Drosophila melanogaster: one gene and its partner. The protein of the gene in region 1 interacts with the protein of each later gene in a biochemical or structural test. Each region holds a gene or a part of one and is shown in the gene's direction. Other genes may lie near its edges. The genes, in order: Act79B and kel.

The links.
Region 2: the proteins of Act79B (region 1) and kel form a complex in vitro, tested with the Drosophila melanogaster proteins (one study listed by BioGRID).

What each region holds. Positions count from the first base shown.
Region 1 is NT_037436.4:21,983,373-21,987,828, forward strand, and holds Act79B (actin 79B), read left to right. Parts: upstream 1-1,837; 5' UTR 1,838-1,876; exon of another isoform or gene 1,877-1,952; 5' UTR 1,953-1,978; coding exon 1,979-2,903; intron 2,904-3,265; coding exon 3,266-3,471; 3' UTR 3,472-3,818; downstream 3,819-4,456. UniProt on the Drosophila melanogaster protein: Actins are highly conserved proteins that are involved in various types of cell motility and are ubiquitously expressed in all eukaryotic cells.
Region 2 is NT_033779.5:18,134,772-18,139,721, reverse strand, and holds the start of kel (kelch), read left to right. Parts: upstream 1-1,638; 5' UTR 1,639-1,790; coding exon 1,791-2,245; intron 2,246-3,746; coding exon 3,747-4,148; intron 4,149-4,895; coding exon 4,896-4,950. UniProt on the Drosophila melanogaster protein: Component of ring canals that regulates the flow of cytoplasm between cells. May be involved in the regulation of cytoplasm flow from nurse cells to the oocyte during oogenesis. Binds actin.

The sequences.
Region 1 (4,456 bases):
GAAACAAGACCTTCTAAGAACTAATTAAGACTTACTTAGCACTGATTACAAATACTATCTGCCCACTTAATTGATCCGATCCCATGCCACATTTAGCTGTGAACTGAAAAAGTTGCAATATATCGAAGTATTCAGAGCTCCTCCACCCCTGGATGCGGTTATCTACTGAGTCGGAGGAACCACAAGTCCCTGCTGGCGGGCATTATTTTTACCTCTTTCAACTACTCGACGCGCGTACGACCAATGATACGTGGTTGGTGTCCGTACCTGATCCGCAAGGTGGTCACGTAATGCTCCGCAGTTGGCGAGCACTTGGCAAAGTTAACGGGCCAAAGTTGGAGCTCAGAAGTTTGCTCCTTTGGGGAATGCACTCGCTGCAGTAAAAGCAGAGTGCATGCACCTCCTCGGATGGGGCACACTTAATTAGAATATCGGGCATTAATCTTATGGCTAATGCCACGATGAGATCGAGCGATATCGGTGGACAGGCGCAAAATTGCTGTTGGCCGCATGCACCGCTGCGCCAAACCCCCCAACCACTTTCCTTTGGGCTCACAGGGCTATGTGCCGTGCATAGCCGTACAAAATTATTTGATTCTATTTTTTCAATTTGATTTCAATGAAATCCACACGACAGCGTCAACATTTATAAGATGTATAAACGCAAGTGCTTTGGCTGCATTTTTGAGTGTGACAACATTCGGGCCACACCATCTATGGACTGAGTGGGGGCCCAGAAGAGCATTGGCACCAATTTCTCTTACTCGAGCAGGGAAAAGCTGCCTACAAGACCAAGATAAAGAACTTGGGGGAAAGGCTGGCCACTACATTGCATTGTTCACGGGTTGTTCTTGTTGCTGCGCCGCCGTTTTGCGGGGGTTTATTTATATAAAAACTTAAAAATATATCTACAGATGCCTATACAAGTCCTGGCGCATATTTCGATATGTTCTCTCCTCTGTTCTTTGTCGAAGTCATAGCAAAGTTGGCAGCCAGACATAATTTAGCGAAAACGAAATGAAACTAAGTGATAAATGGTATTTGGGAATGGAGCAAATTGAATACTCTGAACGAACGCAAAATCCCGATAATGCTCTGACTAATACGACTTAGGGCCTGATGGAAATAAATTATTCTATCAAAAAACGGAGAGCCTATTGTCAGAGCTTAAATCGAAGCTCGTTAGATAAATCCATTTGTTAGCTTTGGCTTAACACATTCTGTCATTTGATGCTTAAATTAAAAGTAATTGGAATACCCAATTTTGCTATTTGTCAAAAAAATATATCTATTGTGTATATTTGGGACTATTGCCATTCTAAAACAATATATAAAATAAATATAAATATTTATATTATGTATGTATATTTATGACTATTGCCATTCTAAAACAATATATAAATATCAAAACTATCTAGCCTAAGCCCAGCGTTCCAATAAATTATTTATTTTCCCAAATTTCACAAGCTTATAAGTGTGTGCGGATTAAAATTCTAACAATATAACAAGACTTACAACTTACAAAACAACTTATTTTATATTGAAATCTAGTACCAATTTAGTTGCTCTAAGTTGTGGCTTAACTAGGGTTCTTTAATTCGTAATCCAACTTGTTGCCGTAGGCGTAATACCCGAAATCAGAACACTTTTGTGAAATCGAAATGATGTGCATCCGACCACCCTCCCCGGAAACGCCTGATCCCCAGCCAGCGTTGCATATCGCGGAATTCATCAACATGTTACTAGATGAACAATTGTTCGAGATGACAGGGACATGGGCGTGGGGCCGGCGGGGCGGGACAGAACTTATTTAAATGCAGCTGCCGGAGCGCATAACGAATCACTCTGATCGCTGTCGCTGTTGGATTTACACGTCGTGAGTGTAGTCTTGTCCGCCCATCCGAAATCCGTAACCCGCATAAGGGATAACCGATCTGTCTGTATCCTTGTAGTGCCGCCCGCACCAAACTAACCAAACATGTGTGACGAAGAAGCATCAGCCCTGGTCGTAGACAACGGCTCCGGCATGTGCAAGGCCGGATTCGCCGGAGACGACGCGCCCCGCGCCGTATTCCCCTCGATCGTAGGCCGTCCCCGTCACCAGGGCGTGATGGTGGGTATGGGTCAGAAGGACTGCTACGTGGGCGACGAGGCGCAGAGCAAGCGCGGTATCCTGTCGCTGAAGTACCCCATCGAACACGGCATTATCACCAACTGGGATGACATGGAGAAGGTCTGGCACCACACCTTCTACAACGAGCTGCGTGTGGCCCCCGAGGAGCACCCCGTTCTGCTGACCGAGGCTCCCTTGAACCCCAAGGCCAACCGCGAGAAGATGACCCAGATCATGTTCGAGACGTTCAACTCCCCGGCCATGTACGTGGCCATCCAGGCCGTGCTCTCCCTGTACGCCTCCGGCCGTACCACCGGTATCGTCCTGGACTCCGGTGACGGTGTCTCCCACACCGTGCCCATCTATGAGGGCTATGCCCTGCCCCACGCCATCCTTCGTCTAGATCTGGCCGGTCGCGATCTAACCGACTACCTGATGAAGATCCTCACCGAGCGCGGCTACAGCTTCACCACCACCGCCGAGCGCGAGATTGTGCGCGACATCAAGGAGAAGCTGTGCTACGTCGCCCTGGACTTCGAGCAGGAGATGGCCACTGCCGCCGCCTCCACCTCCCTGGAGAAGTCTTACGAGCTGCCCGATGGCCAGGTAATCACCATCGGCAACGAGCGCTTCCGCACCCCGGAGGCCCTCTTCCAGCCATCGTTCCTGGGCATGGAGTCCTGCGGCATCCACGAGACCGTCTACCAGTCCATCATGAAGTGCGACGTGGACATCCGCAAGGATCTGTATGCCAACAATGTGCTGTCTGGCGGCACTACCATGTATCCAGGTGCGTAGTCTTAATTAATTAGGACCATAAAGTTCAGAGGAAATTCTTCCGAGGGAATGGGATCAAAACTATGCGGGATACTTAAAAAAAAAAACAAGTGTTACTTTATACATTCATTTGGCAGAGAGGAAATCTTTAAATAATAAAGCCTAAATATTTAGCTGAGCTTTGTAATAACAGTTAAAAAAAATCTTATGGAAAGTAGTATTACAAAAAAAAAAAAAAGAATTCACCTAATGGGTTATATCCTTTCCCTATATCTCATATTCATGCATGCTATTATTAAAATGTCATGTAATGAGTACACCAAAGCTCCTCGGTTCTGTAGCACCACTAATGGATTCTATTTCTGTCCTCTTCAGGTATCGCTGACCGTATGCAAAAGGAAATCACCGCACTTGCCCCGTCCACCATCAAGATCAAGATCATCGCCCCGCCAGAGCGCAAGTACTCCGTCTGGATCGGTGGCTCCATCCTGGCTTCGTTGTCCACCTTCCAGCAGATGTGGATCTCCAAGCAGGAGTATGACGAGTCCGGTCCCGGCATCGTCCACCGCAAGTGCTTCTAAGCATCCAAGCCACCCAAACCAGATCAACATCTCCTCGAGCGCGGCCCTGGTGTTTGTCTCCAGCGTAAGACATCCGACCAGGCGCCGGCGCCAAGGGTGAGGACGCAGTTCAGTGAAAAGTATCTTTAAATTACATTTAGTTGATGAAGAAGTTTTAACATAGATAGAGAAAACAAGAGAAAGAGACGAGAAAAGACCGGAAACGAGCGGCAACGCCTTCTTTTTTTATTATTATTGCTATTTTTATTTGATTTGACTCGGAATTTGTACTGCTTGACTCGCTTGCCAGCGCGTAAAGTGGCCAAAACAATCGGTTGTACGTACAATAAAAACCAATAACCCATGTGAATCGAACCCAAGTCGAACGTCACAGGAGCAGCAGGAATGCGTGGTGGGGAAACTTTTTTAATTAGGCCTCGACGAATGTCAATCAGGCACTTGCCGGCCAACTTTTATTCTCTAACAGCTGCCATGGCAATCCCCCAGTACGGGTATCTGTATCTGTATCTGTATCTGTATCTGTATCTGTGCATCTATCCCCCCGCATGCTCTTCTGTCACATTTTCACAAACCCAGATGGATTTTCCACACGAAGAGAGGTTGCGAGGAATGACTTCTGGAGGACTGAAGTCGGAAATACAAGGAGCAGCGACAGTCTTAACTGGAGCCCAACTGCTCACAGAACTTTTCGCCAACATAAATGTTTGTGCTCAACTTTTGGCTGCAAACTTTTGAGGTTTCGCCAAACTATGCATAAACCAGGTGCCGAAAACTGTTGCTTAATTAGTTAGGGCCAAGCTTGCTGGAGTCGCCAAAGAAAAGAGTCTAACTGGGTTTATTGGTCTAATGTCTGCTGCTAAGTCGTCAGTAACACGGAAACTCTTCTAATGACTAGGGAGCACGTGCATTCTTGATGTTTTTGGGCACCCAAAATCTTGCCCCAAAACCTTGCCAATTATGATTTTAGAGATGCAGTCCTGGGGAT
Region 2 (4,950 bases), on another chromosome or scaffold:
GCCCAGCTGCAGCAGGTCACCACGGCGTCGGGCCCATCGGCTCCGTCCTCATCCAGATCGTCCAATCTTCAGGAGCACCTCAGCAGGCTGCCCAACCGCATGGCAGCCGCCTTTGGTCGGATGTCGGCCAATCTGAATTGCTACCAGAAGACTGTCGCCACGCCGGAGCGTCACTCCAACTCCTCCTGAGGATCAGGACGTGGACGGAGGGGCAAACAGAACCCAGAAACCAAAACTCAAACTGAGACAATCCCAGTGCAGCGTGTGCCGCCACCATAAGTTAAAAGATCAAACGCGAAGCCACATAACAAAATCGCTAGCTCGCTACTACAAGACTGTCATGGATCAAAAACCAAATGTTCACCATATATATCTCACCTATTGGAATGCAGCTCGGACGGATTTTTGAGTTGTGGCACTCTTGAAAGCGAGCTGGTAGAATGTAGAATCGAAATCGCAGTTAGCTAATTGTACTATAAACTAAGTATTATTATCTAAAGCAACCCTCTCTCCTACACACATAAGTATTGCAAAAAGAAGGGCCAATCGAGCTTTTCGTAATCGCTGGTATTCTTGTAATATTTCATTGTATTTATTTGAAGTATGGAATCTAAATGATGTGTTACTGTTACGTGTAAATACGAGATACGAATGCAGCTTAGTTAGTGTAAAACTCTCTCATTAGCCAAATTTCCAAATGTAATTTTCGCCTATTTATGAATATACTTTATTTATTTATTCGAAGTGATTTCGTTCGCAAGCGAGTGCTTTGTTTAAAAAGAAAAAACCCGTCAGTTGTACACGTGTAGAGCATTTGTAAATACTACCGATTTTCGCATTAAGCTGTAGCTATATTAATATAATGAATTATAAATCATGTATTCCTACCTAGGTGGTTGCTGTTATTCGTAAACATTCAATAAGCAGTTGTTTCCAATACCTATTTAATGTATTTTACATATCTCACATGTTGATGAGCATGCGTATCAATATTCAAAAACAAAATCGAAAAAAGAGTCAAACAAATAAAGTTGATCAAGATATTAGAAAAAATCTCAAAGTGTGTTTTGAATCAGAAGTGTGGAATCATAATCAACCCAAATGATTGATGTATTTTAATATCTTTAACAAATGAATGTTTAACTCATTCGTTATTTTCATTATAAAGTCGTGAATTCTTTATAAAATGAGAGTAATCAACTAAAATCTATAGATTTCTATTTATTTTATTTTATATCTATAAAATATCTATAGATATTCTATCAAGATTATGCTGAACTAAACCTTTTTTACTTTCTTTTATGGAATTCGAATATGCAATCTTAATGAATTCTGTGTCGCATATTTGTAATCTTTTTGCAATTTTATTTATATATTTTTATAAGATGAATTAGGTATGCTTTTTTTAAGTTTAGGTAAATGTGGAATATTAGTTTGTATATCAATTTAAAAATCACACTTTTTGAAACGTACGTATAAATAAAAATTAAAGGGGAGAGGTCATATTTAAGATGTAATTCAAGTGAATTACAAAAATTCAAAAATTAAATGACTTTATCATTAATTTTATAGTTGGAAACAAAGCCAGCTCAGTGAGAACTGGTTGAAAATGCCTATCGGACTATCGATGAGTATTCATCGCTAGTGGTAACTTGCGACCAACCCGAGGCTGGTCACACTGCTCTGGTCGCGTCCAAAAAGTGTACAATTTTTCACCACCTCGGTTTGTTTTTTCGGACCAGGCGAGGCACCTTCGATTCGCTGCGACTTCCGTTTCCGATCCGTTTCGGATGATAGCTCTGAGTGCGCTGCTAACCAAATATACGATCGGTATTATGAGCAACCTAAGCAATGGCAACAGCAACAACAACAACCAGCAGCAGCAGCAACAACAACAGGGTCAGAACCCACAACAACCAGCACAGAATGAAGGCGGAGCGGGAGCGGAGTTCGTGGCGCCACCGCCCGGACTAGGTGCCGCAGTGGGCGTGGCAGCCATGCAGCAGCGCAACCGCCTGCTGCAGCAGCAACAGCAGCAGCACCACCACCATCAGAATCCCGCCGCCGAGGGAAGTGGCCTGGAGCGGGGCAGCTGCCTTCTGCGCTACGCCAGCCAGAACTCCCTGGACGAGAGCTCCCAGAAGCACGTCCAGCGGCCAAATGGCAAGGAGCGCGGCACTGTGGGGCAGTACAGCAATGAACAGCATACGGCGCGCTCCTTCGACGCCATGAACGAGATGAGAAAGTAAGGATGGCACGAGATCCTGTCGAAGGATCAGTTCGTACGACTATAAAATTTGGTTAAGTCCTTAAGCATCATAAAGAAGTAGCCAGGGTTTCTAAAGACCTTAAGGCAGTATATTTAGATCCACAAATAGTATTATATCCTAATTCCTACCTGTGAGAGGTTTTAAAAACCTTAGGTAGAACATTGGTTATTTTGTACCTGCCCTGGAGAATAGAACACACAGCACCCACATAGGACTTTTAATGATATGCAGAATTAGATCTATGTGATTTTATAGCCTGATTATGTAAATAAGCACACCTACAACGGTTCGAAAAATGTTTCAAATGTCATTTGTTTGCTCAACAGCAAACCAGCTGAACGTTCGTTCAGGTTCTAAAAAGGTGTCAGCTATTTCCCAGTTACTATTTCCTTGACAAAACAAGCTGATCTGAGTTTCTACCACTAAAACTTTCAGTTGTTAAATATGACGACCTACCTCAACTTAATATAAATAGAACTGTGCTAACTACACTCTATTATAAACTCATCTCCTCTGTTCCCGGACAAAGGCGCATGATTCAATCCCTGCGTGTTCGACGGGAACAGGTGGACCGACTGGCTCTCGAGCTTTGAGATTTGGGCCAAGATGCGAAAATAAAATCTCTGAAAATGTCAGATGATCGTCTCTCGCATATTTGCGCAGTTCGCTTTGTTTATCTGGCCGTTGCTAATATTTGTGTTTGCACACTACATATGTATAAACGAATATTTGCCGCCGCTTTTGTCGTGGGGCCATTCGCATTAATTATTGTCTAGTTTTTATTATGATGAGTTGCTTACGCCTTCGGGTTTCGCATTGGGCCACGACCTTGAACTTGGTTGCGGCCAAAAATGATATTCGTTTTCGAATCGCATTTCGATTCCGCTTCCGCGTCTCCGCCTTTGCTTACTTTTTGGAAAACTACTGGGCGTATGGAAAATTTATTGGTAGCTTACATAAAACGAGTTTTTTTTTTCGGACCAATCATATCGTATTCGGCGCGAAAGTGAATGTGGTATAACCCAAAAAGTAAGCCGAGCGTTGTAATGTGGATTGCTTTTTGATTGGGAATTGAATCACACAAATATTTCGTGAGGTGTATATTCTATGAGATTTTTTTTATTGGGTTATAATTATAACACCTTACGATTTTGAAGACAAAAGATCTTAGTCTTTTCGAGTAGTCATCATCATTTAATGGCGCCATAATTTGCACAGTTAATAGCATCCCCGTCTCTTTTTACAAAACAAAATATTTTCCTCTTGAAAAAATTCAAGCACTTTTGTTTACAAACATACATACCAGCCTTGAAGATATTTAGCACGCTTTTAAACTGTTTATTTGGCAATCAAAACGATCTATTGCTAGTGGATTTCAAAGTCTCAATATTGTCGATACATGACGGTTACTAACCAATTTACTGCGTACAAAAAAATGTATCAAATCTGATATATATATATTTTTACCTATAACAGACAAAAACAGCTCTGTGATGTGATATTGGTGGCCGACGATGTGGAGATCCACGCTCACCGCATGGTGCTGGCCTCCTGCAGTCCGTACTTCTATGCGATGTTCACCAGTTTCGAGGAGTCGCGGCAGGCGAGGATCACCCTCCAGAGTGTCGATGCTCGGGCCTTGGAGCTGCTCATCGACTACGTATACACTGCCACGGTGGAGGTAAACGAGGATAACGTGCAAGTCCTCTTGACCGCCGCCAACCTGCTCCAGCTCACGGATGTGCGAGATGCCTGCTGCGACTTCCTGCAAACTCAGTTGGATGCCAGTAATTGCCTCGGCATCCGGGAGTTTGCCGATATTCATGCCTGCGTGGAACTTCTCAATTACGCAGAGACCTACATCGAGCAGCATTTCAAGTAAGTGGCTAGATTGTGATGACGCAGTATGGGCAGACAAATATAAAATTGTTTTGATTTGCCTGTTTACAGATAGGAATCCATTACTGTATCTGTTCAGTGTTCACTTTTAGAGCATGTATATTGGGAAGACTCACTTTAGTTTGTTCTATATCTACGGATAGTAATTCGTATTTAAATTCCAGTGAAGTGACTATTTATTTATTATTTATTGAGGATAGAAAGCTGCCGTACAACAATATCAATTGAATCGATTAATGGGATCAGATATTTTAATAATTATAGTAACATTTAATAACATGTGTCAAGTTAAAGTTCCTTAGACTCAACAAAAAGGATTTTTAATTATATTATAAAAACGATTAAATTCCTAGGTGTGTTTGGAATGTATCAAAATTTAAATAGTTTAACAGTCACGCATTGGTGTCTTCCAGCATCTGTTTGAAGTCGCTAATTTTGGGTTTCCATAAGATCACGAATTTAATCTTATATTAATTATATTTTCGAATTCAACTACTGAATTAGTAATAACCAAAGTATCAGAATTATATAAGTTCTCATTGATTTCATCAGGCAGAAACAAAATTAGTTAATTATTAAGTTTATATAACAGTAAACAGACGCAAAACCGAAAGCAAATGTGCAATATAAACCATTGAACCGGTTGCGATTAATTAAATTTACTTAGCCCACTCCTCTCATTCCTTGCGCCCCATTACTAACTGCTTGTGTTTGGTTTATTTGCAGCGAGGTGATCCAGTTCGATGAGTTTCTGAACCTCTCGCACGAGCAGGTCATCAGC